Linked DNA regions of Tamandua tetradactyla. The protein of the gene in region 1 purifies or fractionates together with the protein of each later gene. This does not show direct contact. Links are inferred from orthologs where the notes say so. Each region holds a gene or a part of one and is shown in the gene's direction. Other genes may lie near its edges.

Region 1 (11,384 bases):
GGAAGGGCCTTTATTTCAGACCAGCATAGCATAATCAAATTCACACCACCTCTGGGATTAAAACCTGGCTTTCCCACCTCCCAGCCTAATCCTCGGTCATTTCACAGTTTGCCTCTGCAGCCTGTGGCACGTCTGGAGTTCTCACTGTACTTCAACCATGAAATCTGCCTCATTCCTATGAGAATCTAAGTGCTTTCTAGTTCTTGATACATCTCCTATCCACCCTCCTTAAATAAGCTCAATGCTCTGGGATTTTACCCCTGTGGAAAATGGAAAGGATTCACTTACTCATTCCCTTGTTGGACAGACGCTGACACACACACACAGGAAATATGGCATAGTGTTAACACAGACTCTGGCACCAGACTGCTTTGTTTGAATTGTGACTCTGCCATTTACTTGCTCAAGGTCACACAACTTGTTATTTAACCTTTCTGTGACTCGGGTCCCTTATATAAAATAGGTTAATGATAACGCTGGCTTCACAGAGTTATGAGTTTTAAATGAGTTACTCCATATTAAATGCTAATAATAGTACCTGGTGCAGAGTAATCCTCAGTAAACATTAGGTATTATGGAACAGACATTGGGAAATAGAAGTATGTTAGGCACAGGGAATAGAAGTACATGCAATGTAGAGAGAAATACAGGCACGTTCATTTCTTCAATAGACACTTCACATACTAAGCACTAGGCATTGAGGGCATACCAGCAAAATACACCCCCTGCCCCCAATATTTACAAACTGCTATAAGAGGTAAATAGACAAGCAATGACAACACAGTGTGATAAACACAGAAAATGGGGTGCAAGCAGGGTAATATGAGAATATATAAGAGGGAATGATGTTTTGGAGGGCAGAGGAAGTGTCTCAGCAGAAGTGAACTCAAAGTGAGACCTGATGGATGAGAAGGAATTTTTTTTTAAATTTTTATTAACACATCTTTACACACATACAGTCTATATATGGTGTACAATCAATGGCTCACAATATTATCACATAGTTGTGTGTTCATCACCATGATCATTTTTAGAACATTTGCGTCACTCCAGAAAAAGAAATAAAAAGAAAAAAGAAAAAACTCATATATCTCATACTCCTTACCCACCCCCATTGACCACTAGTATTTCAATCTATCCAATTTATTTTACCCTTTATCCCCTCTATGATTTATTTATTTTTTTATCCTTTTTTAAAAAATCATTTGTCCAAATGCTGGATAAAAGGAGCATCAGACACACCATTTTCACAATCACACGGTCACATTGTAATTGTTATATTGTTACATAATTGTCTCCAAGAATCAAGGCTACTGGAACACAGCTCAACAGTTTCAGGAACTTTCCTCCAGCCACTCCAGTACACCATAGACTAAAAAGGGATATCTATATGATGCATAAGCTAACCTCCAGGATAACTTCTCAACTCTGTTTGAAATTTCTCAGCCAGTGAAACTTTATTTTGTCTCATTTCTCTTGTCCCCCTTTTGGTCAAGAAGGCTTTCTCCATCCCCTGAAGCCAAGTCCTGGCTCATCCCAGAAGTTCTGTCCCATATTGCCAGGGAGATGTATACTCCTGGGAGTCATGTCCCACGAGAGGGTGGGGGTTGGGCAGTGAGTTCACCTGCTGAGTTGGCTTAGAGAGAGAGGCCATACCTGAACAATAAAAGAGGTTCAATGAGAAGGAATTTGCCACTATTTACTAAATTACTAATTACTAAAACGGAATGTGAATTGTAGAGTATGTAATGAGCTGTGCTGTGTAGGGAGGCACATGCAGGAGCAGGAGGGGGTAGAGTAAGTAGTTCTGTCTAGTTGGAGGGTAACGGGGCATTGTAGGGGGCAGGGGGCCAGAATTGGAAGAAAATGACACCAGGTTGTCAGGGGCCTTAAATGCATTGCAGAGGATTCTGGACTTCATACTGCAAATAATGGGGAACTGTCAAGTCTAGAAGAGCTAGAATTAAATAATCTAGACAAGGTTAGATATGGAGTCAGGACAACCATTTGGAGTCGTTGGAAATATTCCTGATGAGAACGTAAGGCTGCAATGGATTGCTGGCCTTGAGGATGAAGAACAGGAGATGTTTGGGCAATAATGCAAATAATCAAAGAGACAATGTATCCTTCTAGCCAATATGGGTATTTGATTGGAAAAGTGTGAGAAGTACAGGTAGCATAACAGAAAGAAAATGAGGTTTTGGAGCCAGATAGAATTGGACTCAAATCCAATCTCTAGCATCCGTTGAATTCATGTTTAGTGTGGGTAATAGTCCTACCTCATAGTTTGTGAGAACTATTAACATGTAGAGTGCCTAGCACAGGGCCTGGCACATAGTAAGCATGCGGTACGTGAGAGTGTGAGTATTTGGGGATTAGAGAATAAGACTGTGGTGAGAAGTTTGTACCTTAGAGAACAGTGAGTGGTCTTAGTCTTTTGAATGTCTTAGATGCTTTAATTAATTAATTAATTAATTAATTTCTTTATTTTTGCATGGACAGGCACTGGGAATCAAACCTGTGTCTCTGGCAAGAATCCTGCTACTGTGCCAGCATTGCATCGCCCTAGATGCTTTATTTTTAGACAACTTTATTTAGATATGATTCATATATGATACAACTCACCCATTTAAAAATTACCCATTTAAAAAATAAAACGTTTTTAATTTATTCACAGAGAGGTGCCACCATCACCACAATCTAATTTAGACCATTTTTATCACCCTAAAAAGAAACCCATGCCCATTAGCAGTCATTGCCCATTCCTCCCACTGAAACCCCCCAACCTCCACTAATCTACGTTTTGTCTGTACAGCTCTGTTCTTAGAGGCTGTCACAGATCTCATGAAAGTTATTAAAACGCTATAAAAAAAATGAAAAACCTGGAAATATGCCACAATTTTGTATGCAATTTCCAGGAAGTCAGGTAGCCTTGATTAAATTTTTTTGTTTCATGGGCAGGCACTGGGAAGCGAACTGATTAAAATTTAATAAATCCAAACCCTTAACCAACTCAAACCTAGTCTTTCCAAAGTTGGCACTAAACTCCTAGAGTGGTGGTGGTGGTGGTGGACAGTGGAACTTTATAGTCTTCCCTCCTGATTCTCTGCCTGACCTGATTTCTGCACACACACAATTTGCTCTAAATTTTCTACACATAAGCATAGCTGTGAACATCAGCCATGAGGCTCCATCTCTTTTTCCCTTTCCATTTGTTACCTCTGGGAGCAGCAGAAACCTAAGAGATTTCAGCTAGCAACCAAGAGCATGTAGTGTCTCTGAAAACAGGTCAAAGCTCTGAGAAAATAGCAATCATATATTAGGAGCTTACTGGGGCTGAGCATGGTATTATCATTAATTACTCTTCCAATTTTTCAGTTCTAGGAGCTCCTCCTGGACATGTCAGCCTCAGGTCTATGGTAGCTCCTGGTAAATAATGCAGTATCACCCTGAGGAAGGCTTCTGCCATCAATCTTTGTTTGGTATCGTTGCCTGTAATCCACTTCACAGAAGCCAAGAACAGCTGGAGTCTAGAGAGGGGACTCTCATCTTAGATAATAAAAGATGATGTTTGTGCTTCCATTGTATCAAGTAGGAATGCCTGTGCCTGCCTCCATGCCTGTGTTTATCGGGTTAGAACTTCAATCATGTTAAACTGGTCTCTTTTAGAATAGCAAGTGAGAATTTTGATTACAAAATAGTTTCCTGATTTAAATTTTGAGTTTTATTACCATGTTAGCTGAAGCCTCCTTCTTTAAAAAGGAAACCGGGTTCTAAATATGATCATGGTGATGAATACACAACTATGTGATGATATTGTGAGCCCTTGATTGTCTACTGTGGATGGATTGTATGTGTGTGAAGATTTCTCAATAAAAATATTTAAAAAAGGAAACTGGAAGCAACTTGAAAGCACACTCAGACTTAATCACCTTTGTATTCATTACAGGCTTTCTCTTCCAGTTCTTCACCCCAACCTCAAGCTCACTTAGTTACAGGCACACAACATGCTGTTCTGCTTTTTGTGTTTTTTTGTTGTTGTTGTTGCTGCTGGAACATACACGCTCCTTCCTACCTCGTCTTCTCCTGTTGGCTGTTCCTTCTGCTTTTCTCTTTAAATCTTCTCAAGGCTGGCTTTTTCACATCACTCAGGCAGGCATCAGTTCACATAGCTTTTCTGATCATACAACCCCCAAAAATGGTCCCCTTCTCTCATCACATTATCCAAATAGACAGTCTTCATGGTACTTATCACTCCCTGAAATTGCCCTTGGGGATGTATTATTTGTTTCTTCTTTGTTTCTCCTCTACCGAAGTGTAAAACTCCATGAAACAGGCCCCTTGCCTGTTTTGTTCACCAGAGACCCCCCAGGGCTCAGAGCAGCCCATCACACATAGGTTTATTCAATAACAGCTGTTGAGTTAAAGGTTTATTATCAGAAGAGTTAGATAAATAGTATTAAATGTGAAATATATTTTCTATTCCATAAGAGTTAACCTAGATGCATGCATTCAGAACTTTGTTGGCTATATCGAAACCTAAAAACTTGCTATTTATTGGACTGTCCAAAATAAAATGATTTTAAAAGAAGAGTAAAATGAAGGCAAATTATTCGACCTCTTTGCACTTCACTTTCGTTACCTTGAAGAGGGAATAGCAACGCTTTCCTCATACAGTTGGTGTAAAGATTAAATGAGATCACAAATGTAAATTGTGCCAAGCACATAGTAAAATATCAAGCTTTAACTATTATTGTTGTGGCACTAGCCTCTAAGAAGTAAGAAATGGAGTTTTAGCAGATGTCTCCAAGCTACAGATATTAACAGTCTTTGGTGAAGAGAAAAGGGCTTGGAAAAGTATAGAGACTTTCCAAATTTCACTCGAGCTAGTTTCAAAGGGGTGGGAAGAGAATGGTCAAAAGGTCCTTGTCTCTTGCCTTTGGTAGGAGCCACAAGCGTCAGAGACTGTGGAAGCCAGGATGGGGGAGGAGGGTGTATGGCTGGGACTGAGGCAGCAGGGAAATAAGCCAATTTTGGAGGCGGCCAGAATTTAGAAACAAGAAAACCACTAGGCTTGCTGCCACATGTCTGTAATATGACTCTTCTATTTTCCCTCTTAAGGAATTCATTTAAGATCTACTAAGAAATTGATAAGTACATTCATCAATGTTACATTCCCTGACCAACATGCAACAGTGTTTAAATCTTACTAAATATTGGAAATTAATTAATAATTGACTGCTAACAGAAGGCAGAGTCTAGATCAAAGAGTTGATGTCAACAGTCTCATAGTGGAGTTAGATAATGGGGTTAACTCATGACACTGACATTTACTAAAAAAGGTGTGAACTTGGTTATCTTACCTGTCTGAAATGGTTTATTTGTGAAAAGGACCAAAACCTACTTAACAAGTTGTTGAGATTACAGTAGTCATAACACTTGGTGCATAAGGGAAAAAGGTGTAAAATTATAACGATGTGTTTAAACACTTAGAGTGTTACCAAATATGCATTGATACTGCATTACCTTAGTGGATTTTAATGTTCTTAACTAATATCAATGTTTTTAGTAAAGACACTTAATTTGCTGACATATTCCTCTCCCCTCACTGCACCTGCCAGCACACATACAATGAGATGCTCATTCGTTGTAATTACACCACAGCCACCTAAGCCTTGACCTGCCGGACACTAACAGACAATTCGACTGGCTCTAAAAAGTCTTTCTACAAGCATTGCCTTCTTCTCGCAGCCTGCCCAGTGTCTGGTGCTGCACAGTCAGGAGCTAACAGCTCTAAAGCATCCGTAGCAACAAGGCATTTCTTGCCGGGGAAAGGCGCGCCACACTCCCATGGACAGCTCAACGTGTCCCTTTGATTAATTCTGTTACGCGGTGTTCACGTCCCCGAGAGAGGAAGCGTACTCCGCTTCGCATTAAATCAGAAAAGCCTGGATACATTATTGGGGAGGAAAGAGAGCGACTCCAGCAACGGAGCAGCTAGGCACGTGGATCAGACCGGTTCCCGCCTCGCCAGGCCGGAGCGGCACCTCTGCACCCCCCGCACCCCCGGAACTTCGTGAGTTTCCAGCTGAAAGATCTGGGAGTCACCTTGACCCTCCCGGAGAGGTGGGGAAAGTTAGCCCGGGCCCGGAGGCGGGGTGAGAAAAAGCAAAGACCGAGCACTTTCTCGAGCAAAACATGCTGTCACGTTTTCCTGTTTTCAGGGTGGCTGGAGACCTAGAGCGTTTAAGGGTGGCTGGAGCAGGTGGTACAGCCCCGCCCACTGTCCCGCGTTCCCTCCCTCAGTTACCCTCCCTCAGCTCGCACGCTCTGCTCGCTCCCCGAGGTCCCGCCTCTGAAGCGCGCGCGAAGAGTTGCCGCGCGGTGCATCCTGGGAATTGTAGTCCCGAAGCGGGAAGCCGCTTCTGGAAAGGCGACTCTGGCCTACGCACCCCATGATGCCGTGCGGCGCAGGCCGCTCCCGGATGTGTGTCTGGCGCCGGAAGAGAAGACGGCCCCCCTCTCTCGGCCCGGCCATCTTGTGGGAAGAGCTCAAGCAGGCGCTCTTGGCTCGGCGCGGCCCGCTGCAATCCGTGGAGGAACGCGCCGCCGAGCCACCATCATGCCTGGCCACCTACAGGAAGGCTTCGGCTGCGTGGTCACGAACCGATTCGATCAGTTATTTGACGACGAATCGGATCCCTTCGAGGTGTTGAAGGCGGCAGAGAACAAGAAAAAAGAAGCCGGCGGGGGCGGCGTTGGGGGCCCTGGGGCCAAGAGCGCAGCTCAGGCCGCAGCCCAGACCAACTCCAACGCGGCGGGCAAACAGCTGCGTAAGGAGTCCCAGAAAGACCGCAAGAACCCGCTGCCCCCCAACGTTGGTGTGGTTGACAAGAAAGAGGAGGCGCAGCCGCCCGTGGCGCTTAAGAAAGAAGGTAAAGGTGGGGTAGAAGGTGCGGGAGACTAGGGATGGAGGAGAGTTGGGACTGCCACTTGCTTCTGTAGCTCCAAGGGGCTATGGGAGACTTTGCCGCCGATTTATTCACGCTTCCCCCCATGCGACCAAAGCCAGGTCCTGCGGAGGTGCTGGGAGCGTGGTAGTGCCAAGTTTAAACCCCCACCTGCAAGAGCCCCCGGAGCCACCCCTTTCCCGCCTCAGGTTCTCAGCCGGAGGAGCATGGTCCGGAGCTGTTCCTCAGCTGTTCCTCGAGCGTAGTCGGTGTCCTAGGAAGCTGTTCCCTTCCCGCCGGATTCCTTGGCGGGCGAGCGCATGGACTGGAGGTGCGGGGAATCCAGACACTTAGAAGCTTTTGTAGTTGGAAAGAAGTTTGGGAGCCTACAGCTTCTTTCTGCCCAAAGCTCTTAGCGTGGTCTTTCGAGGTGCTGTTTTCTGGTTTAGCTTCTGTTCTGCCATCTTGTCCCACGATGGTGTGGAGTACCCGAGTGAAAAGCTCTGGGGTCAGAATTGACATGTAAGCTACTTCTGTGCTCAAGTCAAGATATTATGCAGTAAGTTGCTGTTCGAGGTGCTACATGTGGTTTCTAAGCCCCCTCCCCCCACCTTCACTATTAACTTGCTAAAGTGAGTTAGACTGTTTGGATGGGTGAGGAATTTGGCTACACTCAGTTAAGCAGAGTGGGAATTCTGATTGAAGACTGATTATTGCCGGAAATCCTTCGGATCGCCGGCGTCTCACGATCCTTTTCTCCCAACTCCTCGCGCTCAGTTCGTATGGCGTGGCGTGGCCTGGGCCTCGTGGTGAAATAGGTGTTTAGGCTGTCACAACATTAGCAGCGGCAGAACTCTTGAGCCTGTAGCCTTTTTTCCGCGTGTGCCTGAAGCATTGTCAAGATTTTACTGGCGGGCGATGTGAATTTCACAGGGTTGTCTTGAGCTTGACTTTTGCATTCTACGTTTTAGCTTATTGTGGGGGGTGAAAAAGTAAATAATTGAGGATGTAAAAAACATACATTGTCAGTTGCAAGTGAGGGTAGAACTTAAGCTCAGAATCTTTCAAGTTGTGTTTTTATTCAGAAAATTGAGATTCCCCTTTACTGCCACGTGCTCCTGAAAAAAGTTGTCTCATTAATTTTGCCTACTGTAGCAGTCAACTGACTTGAAAACAAAACAAAATTTCACGTGTGCTCAGAATGTTGGATTTTGGTTTAGGATTTTTTTGTGGCTGTTTTGTGAAACTTGGAATAAAGAGCATGGGTGGTTAATAAAACAAAAAAAGAATTCTTGTAATAAATTTATATGTTGGGGAAAAGCGCAAGTTGGAATATCAGAAAGCATGTGTTTATCAGTTAGACCAAATATCTATTCAGCTGATTAAGATTTATGGCAACCTGTGGTACAGTTGAATAAAACATTTAATTCCTGTCTTAAGAAACACTGACTTTATGCAATTATTTGGACTCTTCTCCTTTATCTCGTTGAGTATGCTCATCCAGAGAAAGCACATGAAAAAATTGAGTCTGGAATAAATCTAAAGTGTTTACTGGTAGATGTGTTTACCCCATTTTGAATGTTCAACATATGAAGCATGATTTAATACCTCAGTTCTGATCATTAAAATAAAAGCCCATCTTTGAAACATACTTTTACCTGGAAACCAGTACTTTAAATTGTAAGTGCAGAGAATTATTTCATAAATTTTTCCAGGACTAAAACACAAGCTTGTAAGTATGGGAAAGAAATGTTGAATGAAAAGTATTTGTTTTAAGATTCTACTACTTGTCAATGTTCTGGGCATACAAGTCCCTCCCCTCTTGTAGTGGGACAGATTCTTATCTGATCATGCATTCTGTACCTTTGATATAGATCCTTGCACAGTGTTGGACATATTTTAGATAAATATTTAAGGTTTTATATGAATTTAAGTTTATAGCTTGTTTTTAATAATAAAATTCTGGAATCTAGTGAAAATGAATGAGCTTGCAAGTGTAGAGAAATAGAGGAGCTTGCACTTTTAATGTCAATCATTTTTTATTGGGTAAATTTATTTAGTAAGTTTTAGATTTAGCAGTTTAGATTCTCTAAGCCTAATATTGAAAGTTGGGTGGAGAAGCAAGTCATTGTTCATTTGGGTGTGTTTTGCTTGGATATCATAAGGACTGGTTCCATTGTCCTAATGGAACACTAATACACTGTACCTCTGAAAAAATATATTTAAGGCTTTGGGGTAAGGCTTATCATCCATGGTCTCTTGAATTTACGTGGAATGAATTTTTGATGCTAAAGATGGTTGAACAATTTGGCTGTGGCCTAATGGTGTTCCACTTTCTTAGAACAAGAATGAATTAACTTAAGATCTTATTATAAAATCAGTCCTTCAGCTGCTTTTTTGGCTTTGTCAAAAATTGTGGTTTGGGAATTACAGCATACCTGGAATCTTACAGTCATGAGTTTAACTACCAATCTTAAGCCCATCAGTAATATATTTTGATTGCCTTTGGTTGGGCCTCTAGACTCTATAATAGGAAAAAAAGGTAGTAAGAGGAGAAATCAGTAAATGCTTCAGCTATCATTTAGTGCCATACATCTCCTGTTAAATATTGCAAAAGAGGTCTTTTTATGTTTGTGCAGTCTTTAAAGATTCTTTGAAAATAAAGATAAGTATAAGGGCAAACTAAGAAATTTTCATGAATTTCATAGTTGTACATAGCTTTTTAAAAAGTTTGGTGATAAATGTATTGTGTACATGCAAACATGTTATATATATATATATACACACACACAAACTTATCTGTATATGTAAAACTGTAGTAGGAGAGGAAGATGGTGAGGTTTTTTTTTCTGGCTAGTTTAAGCTATGGGGATGCACTCTAATAATCCTAAATGCCATTTGCTTTCCTTTTGGATTTGTAATTTCATAACAGATTTTTTTTACTGTATAGTGTTCTCCCCACCATCCAAATAATGTAAAATAAGATACGTCCTTCATTGTTTTCTTAAGGGGCTGTTACTGGTGTATTGATTTGCTGTTTTATTACTTATGAGTGACTACAAGTATTATCTTCATAAGTATCTCTAAAGCCAAAATGTGTAATTTCTCATAATACTTTGTTTAAAAGTTTTTTTAATTAAAAACTTTGATATCTTGAAAAGTGAAACGAAGAATAACTTCCCGAATGGCTTCCAGGGCGGTAATAGAGACTACTTCAGGGAGAAAAAAATGAGTTGACAAACAAAATAGAAGTTTGAAAAGTTTATTATCTTTAGATGGGAATCTCTCTAAAGTACTGTGATCCACATTAGGGATACCTTGTGTTTGCCTTGTTCAACAGAAAGTGCTTGTTAATGAACTGACAGGTGAACAACTTTTTATGTTGCAAAAATAATTTGCTTATGCATATTATTTATCATTTTAGGAATAAGACGTGTTGGAAGAAGACCTGATCAGCAACTTCAGGGTGAAGGGAAAATAATTGATAGGAGACCAGAAAGGCGACCACCTCGAGAACGACGATTTGAGAAGCCACTTGAAGAAAAGGGTGAAGGAGGAGAATTTTCAGTTGATCGGTAAGTTTTTAAAAATCTTTTCCTTTTGTTAACTTACAGAATTACATCATAAAGCTATAAATTGGATATAATCGCTAGGTCACAGTGTGGTTGATCTCATCATTTTGCAGAGAAACATAAATACATGTGCCTTGTTCTGCTTTAGACCTTTTGTAATAGATTTTCATGTTCTAGTGTAATGAAATGCTTAACGTACTTTGCTGTCTTTTCCTTCCTATCCCTAGAAGTTGAGTTAAAAGCATAGCAGATTAGGTGTGTTAAATTTAATTTTAACTAAAATAGTAGTTTTGCCTAGATTGTAGTGTACAATGATATAACAGTGAAAAAGACTATTCACTAGTAATGTTTTTGAGAATGCCAGAATAATTTTCTTAGTCTTTTGGGGGGCTTCCTAGCTGTTTTGATTTCTTTATGTATTTAGAAATATACTATATTGAAATTCCTAAAACATGTATTTAACTGTTAGATTATGAGTCAGTAAACATGTCCCTGCATTTTTGAACTCTTAAAATGGATTCCCTTATTCCTTTTTCTGGAAACCTTGGGAGAATAGTATTTTTTTTTTTTTTTTTTTTTTTTTTTTTTTTTTTTAAAGGAAAGACAGAGAGAAGGAAGGAAGGATAGAAGGAAGGAAGAGAGGAAGAAAGGGAAACATCTTTTAAACATTTTCTTGTTTTATTGTATTTTGTTTCTCCGTTTTCGTTACATGGGCTGGGGCCGGGAATCGAACCGAGGTCCTCCGGCATAGCAGGCAAGCACTTTGCCCGCTGAGCCACCGCGGCCCGCCCCTATTTTTTATTTCTCTGTAGACCGATGATTGACCGGCCTATCCGGGGCCGTGGTGGTCTTGGAAGAGGTC
Region 2 (10,733 bases), on another chromosome or scaffold:
AGCAATGCAGGACAATTATTGAATTTGGGGAAGTTTTAAAATATGATAAAGGAGTCAACTTTATTCTCTCAAATTAAGTTATTCCATATGGTAGGAAACATGATCTGTGGGGACAGGGACTCACATCCTTATAGTCCCATAACCAAAGAGATAAAATATTTTCCTTTAAACGCAAATTCAAAAAATCTCAGGGAGGTTCTCTGGGCTGGTTTGAAGCTATTATATACCCCAGATAAGCCATGTTTTAATCTTGGCCCAACCTTATGGAGGCAGCTATTTCTTTTAATCTTGATTCAACATTGTAGGATAGAAATTTTGATTAGATTATCACCACAGAGATGTAGCATGCCCAATTGGGGGTGTGGCCTTTTGATTCGATAGAAATGGGACTCCACCCATTTAAGGTTTAGTGGGGTACTATAACAGAGAAAACATTTTGGAGAAAGCTCAGAGCCCATGTAGAAGTTTGGAGATTTTTCCAGTTTGAAATTATTATGTACCCCAGAAAAGCTATGTTTTAGTCCTATCTAATCTTGTGGGAGCAGTCATTTCTTTTAATCCTGATTCAATACTGTAGTTTGGAAGCCTTTGATTAGATTATCTCCATGGAGATGTGACACGCCCAATTGTGGGTGTGGTCTTTTGCTTACATGGAGATGTGACTTCACCCATTCCAGGTGGGGGCTTGATTAGTTTACTGGAATTCTTTAAAAGAGGAAACATTTTAGTGAGAAAGTTCAGAATTGACAGAAACGACAGAAGTCTCAGAGCTGACATGAACTTCACAGCAGAACTGACACAGATGCAGACATGTGGCGAACAGACACACGGATGTTTGGAGATATTTGGAGCCCAGCAGACATTGCCATGAGATGTTAAGCAAGCCAGAACCTGGAGACAGCCAAGGGTAGCCAAGAGATGAAAGCCAGCCCTGGAGAAGTAAAGTGAGCAACACCCACAGGAAAAAGGCTGAAATCAGTGGAGTCCTGGAGTAAGAGACAAACAGATGTTAGTCTCAGACTACCTGGCTGACAGAGGTGTTTCTGCCCCACTGGCCTTTCTTGAGTGAAGGTAACCTCTTGTTGGTGCCTGTGCTGGTATGAAATCATGTATGTACCCTAGAAAAGCCATTTAATCCTAATCCCATTTTGTAAAGGCAGCTGTTTCTTTTAATCCGTATTCAGTACGAATTTTTGTTTGAATCTGTAATTAGATCATTCCATGGAGATGTGACTCAATCAAGAGTGGTTGTTAAATTGGATTAGGTGACAACATGTTTCCACCCATTTGGGTGGGTCTTGATTAGTTTCTGAAGTCCTATAAAAGAGGAAACATTTTGGAGAATGAGAGAGATTCTGAGAGAGCAGAACAATGCAGCCATGAGAAGCAGAGTCCACCAGTCAGTGACCTTTGGAGATCCTCCTGGGGAGCTTCATGAAACAGGAAGCCAGGAGAGAAACCTAGCAGATGACACCGTGTTTGCCATATGCCCTTCCAGCTGACAAGTTTCTGCTGTTTTAAGCCTCAAAAAATTTGTAGTGACTTGTTAAGTCTGTAATAGGAAGATAATACACCTGAGAAATGGAGTGGAAACTTAAGTTTCTGTTCTTCCTTGGATTTTCTTAAGCCTGACTGCCCTGAGACATCCCCTGCTGCCTCCACCATTGCCCATTCACTTATCCCAGATAAATAAGTTGATTTGACAGAATGAAATAAATGATGCAGAGATAGAGGTGGAGAGAGTGCTGATACTGCCTGAGATCCTGGTTCCAGCTGATCTTAAGGACAAGGTTATGTTGGCCTCTTAGTTATACAAATTAATTCCCCTTTTTTGTGTTTCTTACTTTAAGTTAAAATTCTGTCATTTGCAACAAACTGTCCTGCTTAAATAATAAATCTATGGTGAGAGAGGGATGGTTGAAGAATAATTTTTAAAGAAGCCTTTGGAGATGGTATCTGATAATGGCTTAATTTGATTTCATAGCAACCCACCTAGGAACACATCATCCTACATTAGACAAAACAAATACTTATCGGTAAATGGCTTTCCTACAAGCAAGAGTTTTCTGAACTTAAAGAGTGGAGAAACCCAAATTGATTTGATTTTTTTTCCCTCCAATGAGACATATTGCACATACAATATACTGACTGAGGTTAAAAAAAAAAGGAGAAAATATGAAATTAGAGACACTTTTTTTTTTTTAAGTCCTCATTACTTCCTCTTTTGGCTGGCTTAAATACTTTTCTTTTCCTCTGTGCTTGATTAACACAATGCAAGACCTTTTTTGCATTGTGGGGTTTGTTCATATGAAACTTAACCCCACAAAGAATAGGTCAATCAAGCAGTCCTACTCAAGCCTGACTGGTGATATGGTCAGGAAGAATTTTAAGCACTGGCCTTTGTGATCATTCTTCCTTCTGCTGGAAAAAGACAGAATTAAAAAGCTGTCACTCACTTCTCAGAAGAGGAAATACAAATGGCCAAAAGGCACATGAAGAGATGCTCAACTTCCCTGGCTATTAGAGAAATGCAAATCAAAACCACAATGAGATATCATCTGACACCCACCAGAATGGCCATTATCAATAAAACAGAAAATAGTGCATTTCCTAATATAACTTATGTAGACAGCTTAATTGAACACCAAAAGTGCTGGAGAGGATGTGGAGAAAGAGGCACACATATCCACTATTGGTGGGAAGGTCAAATGGTACAACCGCTGTGGAAGGCAGTTTGGCGATTCCTCAAAAAGCTAAATATAGAATTGCCCTATGACCCGGCAATACCATTGCTAGGCATCTACTCAGAGGACATGAGGGCAAGGACACAAAAGGACATTTGCACACCAATGTTTATAGCAGCATTATTTACAATTGCAAAGAGATGGAAACAGCCAAAATGTCCATCAAAAGACAGGTGGCTAAACAAACTGTGATATATACATATGATGGACTATTATGTAGCTGTAAGGCAGAATAAAGTTATGAAGTATGTAACAACATGGATGGACCTTAAGGACATTACGCTGAGTGAGATTAGTCAGAAACAAAAGGACAAACACTGTGTGGTCTCACTGATATGAACTGACATTAGTGAATAAACTTGGAGAATGTCGTTGGCAACAGAGACTATCAGGAGATAGAAATAGGGTAAGATATTAGGTAACTGGAGCTGAAGGGATACAGATTGTGCAACAGGACTGAATGTAAAACTCAGAAATGGACAGCACAATACTACCTAACTATAATACAATTATGTTAAAACACTGAAAGAGTGAATGAAGCTGAATGTGAGAATGATAGAGGGAGGAGGGCTGGGAGCACAAATGAAATCAGAAAGAAAGATAGACGATAAAGACTGAGATGGTATAATCTAGGAATGCCTAGAGTATATAATGATAGTGACTACATGTACAAATTTAAAAAAATGCTTCTGCATGAGGAAGAACAAAGGAATGTTATTACTGCAGGGTGCTGGAAATAGATGTTAATTAATATTTAAAAATTTTAACTTATGTGTGAGACTAAAGCAAAAATGTTCATTTGGTACAAAATTTATATTTTGACTAGTGCATTTCCTAATATAACTTATGTAGATAGCTTAGAACACCAAAAGTACATGGAACCTTGCATAGGGCATGAGATTTTGTTGGTTTGTCCAGAGTGATGCCCCAATAAATCCCAGAGTGATTTGAACAATGAATAAAAAAGTATTTGCAAATTCCCCTTTGGGGAATGGTGAGAACCGGGGAAAATTCAACTTCCCCAAGTTGAATTCTTGATATTCTCACAAGCAGTGTGGACAACCAAAGCTATAGGCTGAGCCCCGAGTCTTGGGGTTTGTTCATATGAAACTTAACCCCACAAAGAATAGGTCAAGCCTACTTAAAATTAGGCCTAAGAGTCACCCCCAATGGAACCTCTTTTCTTGCTCAGATGTGGCCTCTCTCTCCAGCCAACACAACAAGCAAGCTCACCACCCTCCCTCTGTCTATGTGGGACATGACCCCCAGGTGAATGGAACTTCCTGGCAACGTGGGACAGAAATCCAAGAATGAGTTGAGACTCAGCATCAAGGGATTGAGAAAACCTTCTCAACCAAAATGGGGAAGAGTGATATGAGACAAAAAAGGGGGAAGAGTGAAATGAGACAAAGTGTCAATGGCTGAGAGATTCCAAACAGAGTTGAGAGGTTATCCTGGAGGTTAGTCTTACACATTAAGTAGATATCACCTTGTTATTCAAGATGTAATGGAAAGGCTGTAGAAACTACCTGAAAATGTAGAGCTGTGTTCCAGTAGCCATGTTTCTTGAAGATGATTGTATAATGATAGAGCTTTCACAATGTGACTGTGTGATTGTGAAAACCTTGTGTCTGATGCTCCTTTTCAACCTTGTCAACAGGCAAGTAGAACATATGGAATAAAAATAAATAGTAGAACAAATGTTAAAATAAATTTAGTTTGAAATGCTAGTGATCAATGAAAGGGAGTGGTAAGGGGTATGGTATGCATAAATTTTTTTTCTGTTTTCGTTTTATTTCTTTTTCTGAATAGATGCAAATGTTCCAAGAAATGATCATGATGATGAATATGCAACTATGTGATGAAATTGTGAATTACTGATTATATGTAGGACGGAATGATCAAAATAGGAATGTTTGCGTTTGTTAGGTGTTTTTCGGTATTAAAAATTTTTTTTTTAAAAAGCTGTCACTATTGTTCCTGAAGCAAGTTCTTAAAAGGCCCTAGCTATTCCATCCCAGGAGATAATTTATACTTTAAATGGAAATGTATAATGCCTTGCAAAATTCATAACATTCATTTTTCTGGAATATATATATGCTTGCTCTTTTAGTTTTGGCATTAGCAAACAGGAAAAAAGCAGTGTCTACTGGTGCCTCAGACAAGGGATAAAACATTATAAAATGTAGCTGTATTTAAAAAAAATGTAGTTGTATTATTTTTGCCCCCATGCATGTTACCCCTTTGAAGCTGTAATCTGGTTATGTCCCTGCAGCTTGGCCACCTGCCTACCTCCTCTATGTTTGCTTTTCTTTTTTGTAAGGAGACAGACTGGTCAGAGAAAAAGAAGAGAAGAAAAACTGCATCAGCAGAGGTCTGAGAAGCAAATTTGGTAATAACTGAATCTCACATAATATTTTTGATAGAAATAAAGGGACTTGATAAAATTCTTTTGTTTGCTCTGTAGGAATTCAGAAATTTGACTCATTGTTCTTAAAAAGAACCAAAGAGAGGAGGATGCTTCCTACACTTGGCGAGAGGCTTAGATGACATTTCATTCTTTTGCTCAAAATATTTATGGGGCGCTTACCACGTGTCCTGCTGAACAAATCAGGTATGCTCCCCAGGATCACTGTACATGACTGTGCAAGTAAATGGCACCCATTAAACTTGTCTAGTGAATACTTCCACTACTGTAAGTGGTGCCTGATGGCTTTGTTTGGAGATTAAATCTAGTGATTTCTTATAGGAAACATTGCTTGGACTTCTGTTCTTTCCCGTTAACTGTTACAAAATACACCCAGCCATAGTCTTTTACTCATTTAATTATAATGGTGTCATCATCTGTCTCCTCTGGCTTGTAAACTCATTGAAAACTGATAGCAGATAGATATACTGTGTCACTTTCTAGGGGCTAGTTACACTAGACAAACATCCCTGTCCTCAAGGAGCTGATGGTCTAGGGTGACAGCTTAACAAAGAGAGTTTAACAAACATCACAAATAAGGAGAAAAAAGGATGGGGTTCTTTTCTCACCTGCTATGGGTCTTTACTAAAATGGCACCATTTTTTTTTTTCACCATCAGTGCGATGGGAAAAGATCGGAGGCGTAAAGATGTCTAAAAAGGAAAAGGACACTGAGGAATAGAACTGTAGGCACACTCAGCAAAAAGCAAGTAAGACAGTTATCAAATCTCCACCTTGACGAGAATCACGCCACAACAAGTAATGAATGTAGGAAACAAGGATACACTAATATAGGATATAGTGAATAAGGATCACTGTAAAATTCTCCCCGTACACGTTCTCACAAAACCCCTGAAGAACCTTCGTGTTCTAACCTGGGCTGGTCTTATGTTTTTGCAAAAGCACCCACGACTGATATTGGAGTACAGGCATACTTTTGCCTCAGATACACTTAAGATGCTTATGAGCGATTCTTCAAACCATTCTGCCTCGCTCTTCTTGAGGAATCACCCTAATAACGAAACGACATTTTGGGTAGCCAAGAAAGACTCCGCTCTATCTAATATAAACCCACATCTGGCATTTTTCACACCAGGTGTGCTTCAGGGACAGGAATAAATGTATGCCTTCCTCTACTCTCCGGGGATCACTCTCCAACCTTTTGACCCCAGCCAGTGAGCGTCCGCTCCCAGAAACCCTTCGCGCTCCACTCCGGGCCCGTCCACATCGCGCAGCCTTCTGGACGCCGTAGGCTCCGGCGGTCCTGCGCGGCTGGACTACCAATCCCGGCAGCCTTTGTTCCTCTCCACCTCCCTCTTGGCGCATGGCCTGCCGGGAGGGGGCAGGTAGCGGGCGGGCCGGGTCCAATGGGTGCCGGCTCCCGAGGAGAAGGCGGAGGAGAGGAGGAAGAACGAGGACTCCAGGCCCTGGCTCCATTCATTGCCGCGGCCAGGCGGGCAGGGGGCCCGTGTTCTCGGAGTCATGGAGGCGCTAATTCCTGTCATCAACAAGCTTCAGGACGTCTTCAACACTGTGGGCGCCGACATTATCCAGCTGCCTCAGATCGTCGTGGTGGGAACGCAGGTGAGAAACGCGGGTGGGGTTAACCGAGGCCAGAGCCCGGGGCGCGGCCCTGGTTGGGGCTGTGGCAGTGCCTGCTCCAGGCCGGACTTTGCGGCCTGTGGGAAGAGGGTGCAGCCGGGGTCCCGGGGCTCGCCAGACCCCGCCACGCCTGTCCCGGACTGGTGGCTTCTGTGCAGAGAACCAGGGGCCGGGCGTGGAGGCCAGGGGCGGAGTCGGCGCTGCGGGCCCGAGGAGTCCCGGGGGCGGGATGGAGGAGGGACCGGTCGGCGGGCGGAACTGGAGTTCGCGGGGACCGGGCGCGGCTCGGTCCACGGGCCGCTACCTCCAAGGGCATCTGGGGGACGCGCGGGTGCGCGTGGCGGCAGAGAATTGTTGGTGGGCTGTCCGATCCCCTCTCGGTTGGTTTCGGAGCCGCGGGGTGTTTTACTTCCGTCGGTCCTTGCCTTGCCCCGGGACTGTGGAGTCAGTTTTGTACGCGCAGTCAGAGCTAAGAGACCGCCACTTGTGTAGTATCTGAGTTCCTACAGTGTAAACCGTTCGCTGAGAAAATCAGAATAGTTCAAACAAAAGCACCCACCGTACTTGGAGTTCTGTGGGTGTTAGGAACATGGAGTTTTCCTTCGGAGCCTGTGGTTTTTTGTTTGTTTGTTTGTTTTTTGTTAATCTTCTACGGTTTTGTGATCGTGACCTAAATTGGGCATATAGGGTCTCTGGTCTCTTCAGGTTGGGTTTCTTTATAGATAACACATTTATTTTTCCATGCTGAAGTGTTGGAAAAATAACTTATTTCTAAAGTGACAGAGAAGTACGCTGCTTTTCTAGATTGAAGAAGAATCATAGGATTTGGGTTCAGGGAAAGCATTTTAGTGATTACTTATATGATTTTAAGTGCTTTCATTTCTTAACAGTATCTTTTCTATTGAGATGGTTTCCTCATTTTCCATAAGGCGCATTTCAACAAAACTAAAATACATTCTCATAATAAATATTATGGGAGAGAAGTTAATGTTCAGAGTGCTATAGAGCATATTCAAACACTGAAAACCTTGGGAACCGTAGACATCCTTCACTTTTCTTTTAAACGTTTAATTTTAAAATACTTTCAAATTTACAGAATAGTCACAAAAATAATACAAACCCAGTACAGAGAACTCTAAACATACACCTTCCCTCTAGATACCAAATCCACCAATTTTAACGTTTTGCTGTCTCTTGCCGTATCATTCTCTCTGTCCATCATTCTATCAATCCGTTCATCTATCCATGTCTATGGTCCATTTTTCTATCTATGGTCCATTTTTCTGAACACTTGAGTCTGGCTTGCTACGTGGTGTTCGTTTCCTAAGATCGAGGATATTCACTTATGTAACCACCTTAAGTGCAGTTACCATGTTCAAGAAATTTAACATTGATAAAAAATCTACAGTCTGTATTCCAACTTTTTGTATGTCACAGTAATGTCCTTTTGTGCCTTCTCCCTGGATAGATCCTGTCCAGAATCACGTACTGTATTTAATTTTTATTGTTTCTTTAGTTGCTCTTTTTTAATTGTGGATTCACATATACAACATAAACTTTCCCATCTCAGCCACTCTCAAGCATACCATTCAATGGTAGTATTTATGTTTACAATGTTACAATACTCTCACCACCTGCCATTACTAAAACTTTCTCATCTTCAAGAAAGTTTTACCCATTATGCATTAATTCCCATTCCCCTGGTTCTCTGCCTCTGGCAATCTGTACTGTAATTTATGTTTGTATGAGTTTGCATATTCTCCAATATTTTCTTTATAGTTTCCACTGGGCTTAAATTTAACATCCTCATTCTATACCACACTTGTTGGTTTAGATACCAACTTAATTTCGCTGGTGTACATATACTGTGTTCCTATACTCTTCTGTCTCCCCACCTTATGTAGTTATTGTCGCAAATGACATGTTTATACATTATAAGTCCAAAACCACTGATTGTAATTTATGCATTTGCCTTTTAGATCCTGTAGGAAATAAACGGTGGAGTTACAAACCAAAAAACAATAGTAGTGACATTTATGTTTACCCATGTCCATATCTTTACCAGAGAGCCTAGTTTCTTCATGTGACTTTGATCTATTGTCTGTTGTCCTTTCCTTGCAACCTGCAAAACTCTCTTTAGCATCCCTTGTAGGATCAGTCTAAGTGTGATTAATTCCCTTAGCTTTTGTTTATCTGGGAATGTCTTCATCCATCCTTCATTAAAAAAAAAAATTTAATTGAGATATCTTCATATGTGTACAGTCCATCCAAAGTATACAATCAATGGCTCATAATAGCATCATCATCACATAGTTGTGTATTCATCACCATGATCTTTTTAGAACATTTGCATCACTACAGAAAAAGAAAAAAGAAAAAACCCATACATCCCATGCCCTATACCTCTCCCTCTCACTGACCACTAATACTGCAATCTACCCAATTTTTTTTAACCCCTTATCCCTCCCCCCATTTATTTATTTATTTATTGTCCTTATTTTTTGACTCATCTGTCCATACCCTGGATAAAGGGAGCATCAGCTACTAGGTTTTCGCAGTCACATTGTAAAAGCTGTTTAGTTATACAGTCACCTTCAAGAGTCATGGCTAGTACCCCATAGAGGAACTGTTTAAAAGTTGAAAAAGTGATCAGACTCTAAGTAGAGATATTAATGAAGCTGATCTGGATAGGATTAAGGTATATCAGAATGCAGGGTAGGGGTGATATCGTCCATGTTTTAATAATTCAACTTCTGTGTGAGACTAAAGGGTGCAGAATTTATATTTAGGGCAGTGCATTTCCTAATTTAATTTATTTGGTCAGTTTAGTTGAATGCTGTAAGTACATGGAGTCTTGTGTGGGGTGTGAGATTTTGTTGATTTGTCCAACAATATTTCCCAGAGTAATTTGAACAATGAATAAAGAAGTATTTGCAAAGTTCCCTTGGGAATGGGGAGAAAGGAAGAAATATTCAGCTTCCCCATTTGGAGAATTTCTGATCTTCTCACAAGCTGTGGGGACAACCAAATCAATAGGCCAAGCCCTTAATCTTGGGGTTTGCCCGTATGAAATTTATTCCTGCAAAGGATAGGCTAAGCCTACTTAAAATTAGGCCCAAGAGTCAGCCCCAGAGAACCTTTTTTGTTGCTCAGATGTGGCCTTTCTCTCTAAGCCGATGCAGCAAGTGAATTCACTGCCCTCCTTCCTACATGGGACAAGACACCCAGGAGTGTAAATCTCCCTGGCCATGTGGGACAGAAATCCCAAAATGAAGCAGGACCTAGCATCAAGGGATTGACAAAACCTCCTTGACCAAAAGAGGGGAGAGAGAAATGAGCAAAATAAAGTTTCAGTGGCTGAGAGATTTCAAGCAGAATCAAGAGGTTTTCCTGGAGGTTATTTTTATGCATTATATAGATATCATTTTTTAGCTTATGGTGTATTGAAGTGGCTTGAGGCAGACCCCAAGATCAAGGGCTCAGCCTTTTTTGAATTGGTCGTCCCCACTGCTTGTTAGAGTATCAGAAATTCCCCAGATGGGAAAATTGAATATTTCCTCCTTTCTTCCTAGACCCCCAAGGGGACTTCGCAAATAGTTTTTTATTCTCTGCCCTAACTGTTCTGGGATGTATCAGTGCATCACACTAACCTGTACAAACCAATGAGATCTTACACGCTATTCAACATTCCATGTAATTATAGTATTCTAATAAATGACCATACAAATTAAACTAGATAATATACTACCAAAAATATAATTTATGCACCAAATAAACATCTCTATCTTTGGTCTTACATAGAAATTGACGTTTTAAGATAAAGTCCGTATTATCCTTTACCCTATATTCTGATTTACCTTAGTCTTATCCAGATTAGCTTCATTCATATCTCTATTTGAAGTCTGATCACTTTTTCAATTT
Region 3 (11,103 bases), on another chromosome or scaffold:
ACAATGAGCTACACGTGGCCCCAGAGAATCACCCGGTACTGCTGACCAAGGGTCCTTTCCACCCAAAGGCCAATCATGAGAAGATGATCAGGTTATGTTTGAGACCTTCAGCACCCCTGTCATGTATATGGCCATCCAGGCTGTGCTGTCCCTGTATGTCCCCAGCCACACCATGAGCATTGTCATGGACTCCAGTGAGGGGTTCACCCACACTGAGCCCACCTACGAGGCTATGCCCTACCCCACACCATCCTGAGTCTGGACCTGGCCAGCCAGGCCTGATGGACTACTTGGAGATCCTCACCAAGTGCAGCAACAGCTTCACCATGGCTGAGCTGGAAACCATGTGTGACATCAAGGAGAAGCTCTGTTCTGTCACCCTGGACTTCGAGCAGAAGATGGCCACTGACATGTTTCTTATCCTCTTCCCTGGAGAACAGCTATGAGCTGCCCAACAGACAGGTCATCACCATTGGCAACAAGGGGTTCCAATATCCTGAGACCCTCTTCCAGCCCTCCTTCCTGGACATGGAATCCTGTGGCATTCAGGAAACCACATTCAACTCCATCATGAATTGTGACCTGTTCATCCACAAGGATCACTACACCAACACGGTGCTGTCTGGCAGGACCACCATGTATACAGGCATCACCAACAGGATGCAGAAGTAGATCACAGTGCTGGTGCCTAACACAATGATGATCAAGAATATCACACACCCACACCCCTCAAGTACAGGTACTCTGTGTGGATTGGTGGCTCCATCCTGGCCTCACTGTTCACCTTCCAGCAGATGTGTATCAGCAAGGAGTACAATGAGTCTGGCCCCTCCATCATCCACCACAAATGCTTCTAGGTGGACTGTTACTTAGTTGTGTTACACCCTTTCTTGACAAAATCTAACTTGCACAGAAAATGAAACAAAATTAGCATGGTTTTATTTGATTAATATATCTATGCACACACACACACACACACACACACACACACATATATATATGTTATTTTGTTTTGTTTTTTGACATTTGACTTAACATTTAAAAACTGGAATGGTGAAGGTGACAGCAGTCGGTTAGAGCAAGCACCCCCAAAGTTCTACAAATTGGCCTAGGACTTTGATTGTACATTGTTTTTTTTTTTAACAGTCACCCCAAATACCATGCTATGAATTGTTACGTGTAGTTCCTGGCCTTCCCAAAAGCTTCCCACTTCTCCCTAAGGAGAATGGCCCAGTCCTCACCCACATTCATACCAGGGAGGGTGACAGCACTGCTTTTGTATAAACTGTATCATCCTAATTTTTTAAAAAAAATTCTGCCTTAACAACACCTTTTATTTTTATTTTAAATTTTCAGCCATCATGGTCCCCACTTTTTGTCCCCTAAATTTACATGTATGAAGGCTTATAGTCTCCCTGGGAGTAGGTCATATTGCATAGGCACCCAGGGCTTCCCTGTACACTGACATGAGACCAGTTCAGTAAAAGTTCACACCTTCAAGAAAAAGAAAAAAAGAAAACACTAGGTGAACACAAAGAAGAATTCAAAAGTTTTAAAAAACAAATGGCAGAACTCATGGGAATGAAAGGCACAACAGAAGAGTTAAAAAAACAAACAAACAAAACACTGGAGACCTACAACAACAGATGTGAAGAAGCAGAAGAAAAGATTAGTGAATGAGAAGACTGAACATCTGAAATCCTACACTGAAAGGAACAGACAGGGAAACACATAGAAAAATATGAGTATGATCTCAGGGAATTGGATGAAGCACATGAATATATGTGTTATGGGTGTCCCAGGAGAAGAGAAGGGGAAAGGAACAGAAAGACTAATGGAGGAAATAATCACTGAAAATTTCCCATATCTTATGAAAGATATGAAATTACAGATCCAAGAAGTACAGTGTACCCCAAACAAAATAGATCCAAATAAACCAATGTGGTAGTTAGAGTCAATTGTCAACTTGGCCAGGTGAAGGCACTTAGTTATGTTACTGTGGGCATGAGCCAATGGTACATGAACCTCATCTGTTGCTGATTTACATCTGCAGTCGGCTAGGAGGCGTGCCTGCTGCAATGAATGACGTTTGACTTAATTGGCTGGTGCTTAAATGAGAGAGCTCAACATAGCACAGCCAAAGCAGCTCAGCATACCTCATCTCAGCACTTGCAGCTCAGCCCAGGCCTTTGGAGATGCAGAAAGAAATCACCCTGGGGAAGGTTGTTGGAACCCAGAGGCCTGGAGAGAAGGCCAGCAGAGACCATCGTGTGCCTTCCCACGCATGGAAAGTTAGCTGCCTTTTCTCTGAAGAACTAACAAAATAAATCCCCTTTTATTAAAAGCCAATCTGTCTCTGGTGTGTTGCATTCTGGCAGCTAGCAAACTAAAACAGCCAAATTCAAGACACTTAGTAATCAGATTGTCAAATGTCAAAGACAAAAAGAGAATCATGAAAACAGCAAGAGAAAAGCAATCCATCACATTCAAGGGAAACTTGTTGAGTCCATGTGTGGATTTCTCAGCAGAAACTATGGAGGCAAGAAGGCAGTGGTATGATATATTTACAATTCTGAAAGAGGAAAACAGCCAACCAAGAATTCTATACCCAGCAAAACTGTCCTTCAAAAAATGAGGTAGAATTTTAAATATTTTCAGACACTCAGAAAAGAGACTGGGCCTACAAGAAATTCCAATGGGAACACTACAGGCAGATAGGAAAAGACAAGAGAGAGGTCTGGAGAAGAGTGTAGAAATGAAGACTATCATTAAAGGTAAAAAGAAAAAAAAATAAGATATGACATATTAAATCCAAAAGATAAAATGGTAGGAGAAAGTACTGCCTTTACAGTATGAACATAAAATGTTAATGGCTTAAATTTCCCAATCAAAAGACATAGACTGGCACAGTGGATTAAAAAGCAGGATCTATATGCTGTCTACAAGAAACTCACTTTAGATGCAAGGACAAAAACAGATTGAAAGTGAAAGGTTGGAAAAAGATATTTCACACAAACAACAACCAGAAAAGAGCAGTAGTAGCTATACTACTATCTGACAAATTAGACTTCAAATGTAAAACAATTAAAGAGACAAAGAAGGACACTATATATTAATAAAAGGAACAACTCATCAAGAAGACAGAACAACCATAAATATTTCTGCACCAAGCCAGACTGCCCTAAAATACATGAGGCAAACACTGACGACACTGAAGAGAGAAGTAGACACCTCTTTACTAATAGTTGGAGACTTCAATACATGGGTCTTCTCAATGGATAGAACATCTAGACAAAAGATTAATAAGGAAACAGATTTTGAATACTATGATAAGTAAACTAGACTTAACACACACTTAACAGAACATTACACTGCACAACAGCAGAATACACATTTTTTTCAAGAGCTCATGGATTATTCTCAAGGATGGACCTAATTCTGGGTCACAAAGCAAGTATCAATGCATTTTAAAAGACTGAAATTATACCAAAATTATGCAAAACACTTTCTTGGATCATAATGGAATGAAGTTGGAAATCAATAATAGGGAGAGGGACAGAAAATTCACAAATATATGGAGGCTAAACAACCAGTGTTTTAAGGTAGGAATTAGAAGAAGAATCAGTAAACATCTTGAGGCAAATGAAAATTAAAATACAACATATCAAAATTTATGGGATGCAGCAAAGGCAGTGCTGAGAGGTAAATTTATTACCCTAAATGGCTATATTTAAAAAAAGAAGAAGAAAGATAAAAAATCAAGGAATTAATTGTTCACCTGGAAGAACTAGAGAAAGAACAGCAAACTAACTCCAAAGTAAATGGAGGACAGAAATAACGAAGATTAAAGCAGAAATAAATGAAATTTAGAATATGAAACAATAGAGAAAAGCAAGAAAACCAGAAGTTGGTTATTTGATAAAATCAATGGATCCTTAGCTAGGCTAACAAAAAAAAAAGAAGAAGAAGAAGAAAGAGAGAGGATGCAAAAAATAAATACAATCAGAAATTGGAAAGGGGACATAACCACTGACCCCGCAGAAATAAAGGAAGTAATGAGAGGATACTATGAGCAACTATATGCTAATAAACTAGATAACGTAGATGAAAAGGACAACTTCCTAGAAAATATTAACAACCAACATTGACTGTAGAAGATATTGACGACCTCAACAAGCAAATCACAAGACATTGTATCGGTCATCAAGAATCGCCCCCCCCCCCCCAAAAAAAAAAGTCCAGGACCAGATGGCTTCACATGTGAACTCTACCAAGCATTCAAAAAAGAATTAGTTTGTGAGACATGCAACTAGGTGAATGAACCTTAAGGACTGTATGTTGAATGAAATGGCAGAAACAAAAAGACTAATATTATCATGCCTCACTCATACAGACTAACTATAATGTTCAAACTGAAAGAATTGAAGTTAAGAGGATGGATTATGGGCGGGCCACGGTGGCTCAGCAGGCAAGAATGTTTGCCTGGAATGCCAGAGGGCCCGGGTTCAATTCCCAGTGCCTGCCCATGTATAAAAAAAAAAGATGGATTATCAAGTTGGGGCCTTTTGAAAAGGTTCCTAGATTGTGAGCTCTTACAGCAGTCACATACATTCAGGAGTTGTAACTGTTATTTCTAAATTCTGAGACACTGAGCTGTTTGGACAGAACCTGGTCATTCCCAGAAACTTCGAGTATCTGTGTGGCACCTGAGACTTAGAGTTTGGGCTCTGAAGCCGTGAAAGTCAGCATTACCCTATACAGGAACTGTTTAAAAGTTGAAAGAATGATCAGACTTCAACTAGAGATATGAACGAAGCTGATCTGGATAGGATTAAGGTAAATTAGATTACAGGGTTAAGGATGATATGGTCCATATTTTAAAACTTCAACTTCTGTGTGAAACCAGAAGGAGAAATGTTTATTTGGTGCAAAATTTATATTTTAGGTAGCACATTACCTAATTTAACTTGTATGGTCAGTTTAGTTGAACACTGTAAGTATATGGACTCTTACATGGGCAGGCACCAGGAATCGAACCTGGGTCCTCTGGCATGGCAGGCAAGCCTTCTTGCCTGCTGAGCCACCGTGGCCTGCCCAGTATATGGACTCTTGATTAGGGTGTGAGATCTTGTTGGTTTGTCCAGGTTAGTGTAATGTCCTAATACATCTCAGAATAATTTGAGCAGAGAATAAAAAAGTATTTGAAAAGTTCCCTTGGGGAACTGGGGAGAAAGGAGGAAATATTCTACTTCCCCATTTGGGGAATTCCTGATATTCTTGCAGACAGTAGGTACAACCAATTCAATAGGTTGAGCCCTCAATCTTAGACTTCATTCCTATGAAACTTACTCCTGCAAAGGAGAAATTAAGCCTCTTTATAATTATGCCCTGGTCACCCTCAGAGAACCTCTTTTGTTGCTCAGATGTGGCCTTTTTTTCTAAGCCAACTTGGCAGGTTAACTCACTGCCCTCCCTCTTTGGGACATGACTCCCAGGCATGTAAATCTCCCTGGCAACATGGGACCTGGCATCATGGACTTGAGAAAGAGTTCTTGACCAAAAGGAGGAAGAGAGAAATGAGACGAAGTAAAGTTTCAATGGCTGAGATTTCAGACAGAGTTGATCTCCAAGATGGCAGGCAAGAACTCTGCCTGCTGAGCCACCATGGCCGGCCCTAGATATCCCTATTTAGATTATGGCGCATTAGAGTGACTGGAGCTAAGTAGCTGAAACCAGCTAAGTAGTTGAGCTGTGTTCCAGTAGCCTTGATTCTTGAAGACGACTGCATAACGATATAGTTTTTACAATGTGACCATGTGATTATGAAAACCATGTGTCTTAGGCTCCTTTTATCCAGGGTATGAACAGATGAATAAAAAAATAAGGATAAAAAATAAAATAATAGGGGGCAATAAAGTGTTAAAAAATGGATAGACTGCAATACTAGTGGTCAATAAGAGGGAGGGGGTAAGGGTATGAGATATGGCAAATTACGTTGATAGTACTACTATATATATATATATATAGAATTGCACTTCACCTCTGGTTTTCCTTCCCCAAACCCGTAAGTCCAATCTAATGATTAAAACATCAGACAAATCCTAGATGAGAGAGATTCCATAAAATACCTAGTCAGTACTTCTCAAAACTATCTAAGTCATCAAAAGCAAGGGAAGTCTGAGAAACTGTCACAGAGAAGTGGAGCCTAAGGAGACGTGTTGATTAAATGTAATGTGGGATCCTGGATGGGATGCTAGAACAGAGAAAGGACATTAGATTAAAAATAAGGAAATCTGAATAAAGTATGGACTTTAATAATGTAAAAAAAAAAAAGTTAAAAGACTCACAGTTCACGCCTTACATTTTGATGGAGGGGTCAGTTGTGTCCCAAGAAAGACACTAAAACCAAACACACACACGCGCGCGCCTTTCTAAGTTGACGCATTTGACCGAGCCTGTTCTTGAGTGGTCCTTCCCTTTAGAACGCTCCCGTTTTCCCCTGCCAAATGTTTTCTGATGCGTCAGCTGTCATCCCCTCCAGGAAGTCTCGTTCGGGCGCGTCCGCTAGGCTCCCTAATCATGTACTTCATGTTTCTGTAGTCACCATCTGGCAGCATTTTTGCCTACTCGAAAGTGAGAACCCAGATCCTCCAACCTCGTCCAACACTGAGCCCCTCCTCGAGTTCAGTGTGCCCTTAAAAACTTCCGGCATTGGGCGAGGCCTCGGAACTTTCCTGAGCTCTCAAAGGTCCAGATTCCATGCTGGTGGGTGGAGCCAACTGACTTTGCCGCACTCTCATTGGCTCACGTTCCTCCATGAAAGCTACGCTCCCTGTCTTTGCTGCGCCTCGATAGGTCCAAGTTCTTCCGTCAGTTAGTCTTTTCAGCCCCCTCATTCTCCGGGTGTGGCCCGGTTCTCATTTGCCCACGTTCCGGGTCCGCGTAGAGGGAAAGGTGGGCCCCCTTTGGCGTCTTGACGTTGTCTACCAGCGCCCGTCGCTTTCGTATACGTCATCCCCGAGCGCCCATCCTTACGCAACCAGAGAGTACACAGCGAACCGCCGGCGGCCGCGGAGCGGCGAGCCTGCGCCGAGGCGGTAGTAGCAGCGACAGCGACTGCAACAGCGATGGCCGGGGCGGGGCCAGCCCCGGGACTCCCGGGGGCAGGAGGACCCATGGTCCCGGTCTCAGGCGCCGGCATCCCGGGCAAGAGCGGCGAAGAACGCCTAAAGGAGATGGAGGCGGAGATGGCCCTGTAAGGCCTGCAACAGGGCGCGATAAAAGCTGTTCCAGAGTCAGAACCGCTGACCCCTGGAGCCTCTAGGCGCCGATAGGCCCGGAATATGGCTCTTTCCTCGGAAACTGGGACTTCGAGATTGTGGGAGCGGGGTTGGGGGAGAAGTAGGCAGAGGTGAAGGCGCTGTCATGATACATACCCAGCGTTCCAGAATTCGTGTGAGGCCTTGAACTATGGTGTCTGTCCTGCTCCCCCAGGTTTGAACAGGAAGTTTTGGGGGCTCCGGTAACTGGGATCCCGGCTGGTGTGCCTGCGATGCCCACGGTCCCCACGGTAGAAGCAATGCAAGTTCCAGCAGCTCCTGTAATCCGCCCGATTATCGCAACCAACACTTACCAGCAGGTATGGCTGAGCTACAGCATATAAATCAGGCAGCACTAATGCCTAGCCCACAGTAGTTAGCTAGCTCTTAATTATCATGACAAGTATATTTTTTATGTGCCAAACAATGTACTAAGTGCTGAAGACAGTACTGACTGAGACAGACAATAGTTCAGCCCTTGGGGAACTTATGTTCTATAGCATACTGTTCAGTAGAACTTTCTGCAATGACGGAAATGTTCTATGTCTATTTAAAATTTACATTTAAGTTAAATTTTCCTCAGATGCATTAGTTGCATTTGGAGTATTCCAGACCTGGCTAATGTAATGAGTGGAGTGACAGATACTATTAAAAAAGAAAACAAATGAATGACTTGTTCATTCCATCAACACATAATTTTCAGGTGCCTCTTATGCTCCTGTGTTCCCTGAACAAAACAGAAAAGCAATCACTGTCTTTTTGGAGTTTACATTTTACTAAGAAGAGACTTACCAGCATAGTCAGGGAAAGCCTTTCTCAGAAGGTGACATATTAGCAATGATATAAAGAAGGTGAGGGAAAGAATAATGCAGATACTTGGGAGATGAGCATTCTCAGCAGAGAGAACGACCAGGGCAAGAGCCCTGAGGCAGGTACCTACCTGGCATGCTGAAGGAATAGCAAAGAGGGATTCTGACTGGAGTGGAGTGAGCAGGGAGGAAGAGAGAGGAGATAAGGACAGATGGGTGATAGAGGGCAGATCTAATAGGGCTTTCTGAGCCACATTAAGGACCTTAGCTTTTACTCTGAGTTGGGCAGCCATTAGAGCATTTTAGGTAGAGGAATGATATGGTCTAATTTAGATGTTAACCGGGTCACACTGGCTGGGTTTGGAGAATAGACTGTAAAAATAATAATGGCCTGGACCAGGAAGGTAGCATGGGAGATGAAGAAAATGGGGTGGACATAACTTCGCAAAGAGCTAAATGCTAAGGGAAAGATGAAACAGGGTAGAAAGAAGTTGCTTCTGGGAGGTGGTATGAAACAGCTTTAGCTAGTGACATCTCAAAGACCTCCTGGAGAAGTGACAAATTTTAGCTGAGACCCTTTGCTTGTGTATACTCAGTTTGATGTAAAGTTCTGCCCTGCTCTCTATTAGATCAAACTTGGTAATTAGATCTAACCCTGTTACACTTTTGTTATTTTTATCTGATGATAACTGAGAAATTTTAGCATTTCTCACTCTGCACTCTGCTGGTTATATAACCAGCCCCATGTAAAGTGCCAAAAATGAAACCCTTAGTCTACCAAGTTGAACCAGCCAAAGCACATTTGGGAATCTGAGCCAGCCCCTCATCCTGACCTCCTCTCCAACAGGTCCAGCAAACTCTGGAGGCCCGGGCAGCTGCTGCAGCCACAGTGGTTCCTCCCATGGTGGGCCCTCCTTTTGTAGGTCCAGGTAAGTAAGGAGTTAGGGATAACGGTGAGGGCAGTATCAGGAATATTAGAAAAAGGGGTTGTCTTCCACCACTCCTCTCTCCCTTCCCAACAGTTGGCTTTGGCCCTGGTGATCGGAGTCACCTGGATAGTCCAGAAGCTCGAGAAGCCATGTTTCTGCGGCGAGCAGGTAAGTCTGGGCCTACAGACCCCACATTTATCCAGACACCACAAAAACATCTCTGGGTTTGCCAGGTACTCTTGTTTAGCCTGCTTCAGTCTCTTGCCTAAATCTTCAGTCTTCCTGCTCTAAATCAAGTTCTCCATTTTACCCCCATCCTGATGTTATCAGCTTCCTAAAACACAAACCTGATCGTGTCACTTCTCTGATTATTTTAAGTTAGTTTGGCCTTTGTGGCGCTTAACCTGATCATTGCAAACTGCCCCCACCCCCAGCTGTCACTCCTAATCACTGCTTTTAGCCATGTTTCTCCATAACATGTGTCACATTCTAATAAGCATATGATTTACTTACTTATTTGGTTTTTCTTCTTTTGCCACCTTTAAAACATAAGCTCCATGAGGGTCAGGGGTCTTGTCACCTGTCACATAGTAAGCATTACACACTGTCTGTTGATGGGATGAACAAACTATTAAACAAGTGCCAAGCTCCTCACCTAGCATCCAGAGCCATATACACCCTCACCCCTGGCAGGGAGATATCCCTACACTCTCCCCTGGAGTCCCAAATATTGCTGAGGTGTGCCAGCAGTGCTCCCATTGAGGTCTTTACACACTATCTCCCTTACTCACTGTCACTCAGCTCTAATCTTCAAATCTGTTCTCTCTCCAGGCCATTCTTACCTTTTGTTATTGCGGTAACCTTTATATACCCGGCCAGTTTCTGTGCCTTTACTTTTCTGTGTGTCTGAAGAAAATGTGTATACTCAGTTTGATGTAAAGTTCTGCCATGCTCTCTATTAGATCAAACTTGGTAATTAGATCTAACCCTGTTACACTTTTGTTATTTTTATCTGATGATAACAGAAATTTTAGCATTTCTCTCTCTGCACTATGGTTTTGATCAAAATGTAAAACTGACCCAGTCATCCTTCCCAACTTCCATTTCTGCTGTGGCTCCCCAATGCCATCAGAGGACATCCATGTGCTCGGCAAACAAGGCCTTGCTTGGGCGCCTGCTGTCCTCCCTATCCTTATAAGGCACTATAAACTCCCACCCACCCCACCCCACTTAGTCTCTTAAAGACACACTAAACCAAAAAGGAGAAAGGTTTGTTCACAAATACTTTCTCTGCCTGTAATATTTAACTCACTCTTTGCCTGATCAGCTCCTCGTCCATTTGTTCTCACTAATAGGTCTCTCTCTACAAAACCTTCTCTCATCCTCTGACCAGCCCTCATCCTACCTTTGGTCCCTTATTGCTGTCACTCTCTGATGATGGGTCTCTTCCCCCCTTCCCTGAACTGAAAGCCCGTGTTCTAGAGGCATGTTCTTAGCATTGCCCAGCCTGAGGCCCAGCCCAGAAGAGATCTTCGATTGTAAATTTTTGCTGAATGAACAAACAAAAAGACCCCTCACTTCTCCAAGAAGGCTCCCCAGGCTCTTCTCCAGGATTTTTCGGATGCTGAAAGAACCACTCCCAGCTCACCCCCAATGCCCCGGTCCCCCATGACATGCACCCCCATCTCTCTCTCCCACAGCCGTGGCCCCCCAGAGGGCCCCTATCCTGCGGCCGGCCTTCGTCCCCCATGTGCTGCAGAGAGCAGGTGAGGGGGCCAGGGTCATCATCCCTGCCACAAACCCCACCCCAATTCCTCCAACTCTCCCACTAACACCCTGACAGATTCTGCTCTCTCTTCTGCAGCAGGTGGTCCCCGCCCTATGGCCCTTCGGCCTCCTCATCAGGCCCTTGTGGGACCCCCTCTGCCCGGGCCTCCTGGACCACCCATGATGCTGCCACCAATGGCTCGGGCCCCGGGACCCCCTCTGGGAGCTATGGCAGCTCTGAGGCCTCCTCTGGTGAGCGTGGATAGGGATCTGATGGCT

What was found. Proteins that work in one complex are often made in the same cells at the same time.
Region 2: the proteins of SERBP1 (region 1) and DNM1L purify together in Homo sapiens (affinity purification with mass spectrometry; 3 studies listed by BioGRID and IntAct, with this or other methods). This does not show direct contact. The link is inferred for Tamandua tetradactyla from reciprocal best matches to the Homo sapiens genes SERBP1 and DNM1L.
Region 3: the proteins of SERBP1 (region 1) and RBM42 purify together in Homo sapiens (affinity purification with mass spectrometry; 3 studies listed by BioGRID and IntAct, with this or other methods). This does not show direct contact. The link is inferred for Tamandua tetradactyla from reciprocal best matches to the Homo sapiens genes SERBP1 and RBM42.

The regions. Positions count from the first base shown.
Region 1 is NC_135337.1:58,507,957-58,519,340, forward strand, and holds the start of SERBP1 (SERPINE1 mRNA-binding protein 1), read left to right. Parts: upstream 1-6,498; 5' UTR 6,499-6,622; coding exon 6,623-6,935; intron 6,936-10,374; coding exon 10,375-10,525; intron 10,526-11,334; coding exon 11,335-11,384. UniProt on the Homo sapiens protein: Ribosome-binding protein that promotes ribosome hibernation, a process during which ribosomes are stabilized in an inactive state and preserved from proteasomal degradation.
Region 2 is NC_135333.1:95,956,277-95,967,009, forward strand, and holds the start of DNM1L (dynamin-1-like protein), read left to right. Parts: upstream 1-6,520; 5' UTR 6,521-6,692; coding exon 6,693-6,794; intron 6,795-10,733. UniProt on the Homo sapiens protein: Functions in mitochondrial and peroxisomal division.
Region 3 is NC_135342.1:30,376,859-30,387,961, reverse strand, and holds the start of RBM42 (RNA-binding protein 42), read left to right. Parts: upstream 1-6,890; 5' UTR 6,891-7,127; coding exon 7,128-7,255; intron 7,256-7,494; coding exon 7,495-7,639; intron 7,640-8,975; coding exon 8,976-9,057; intron 9,058-9,150; coding exon 9,151-9,225; intron 9,226-10,757; coding exon 10,758-10,823; intron 10,824-10,900; coding exon 10,901-11,076; intron 11,077-11,103. UniProt on the Homo sapiens protein: Binds (via the RRM domain) to the 3'-untranslated region (UTR) of CDKN1A mRNA.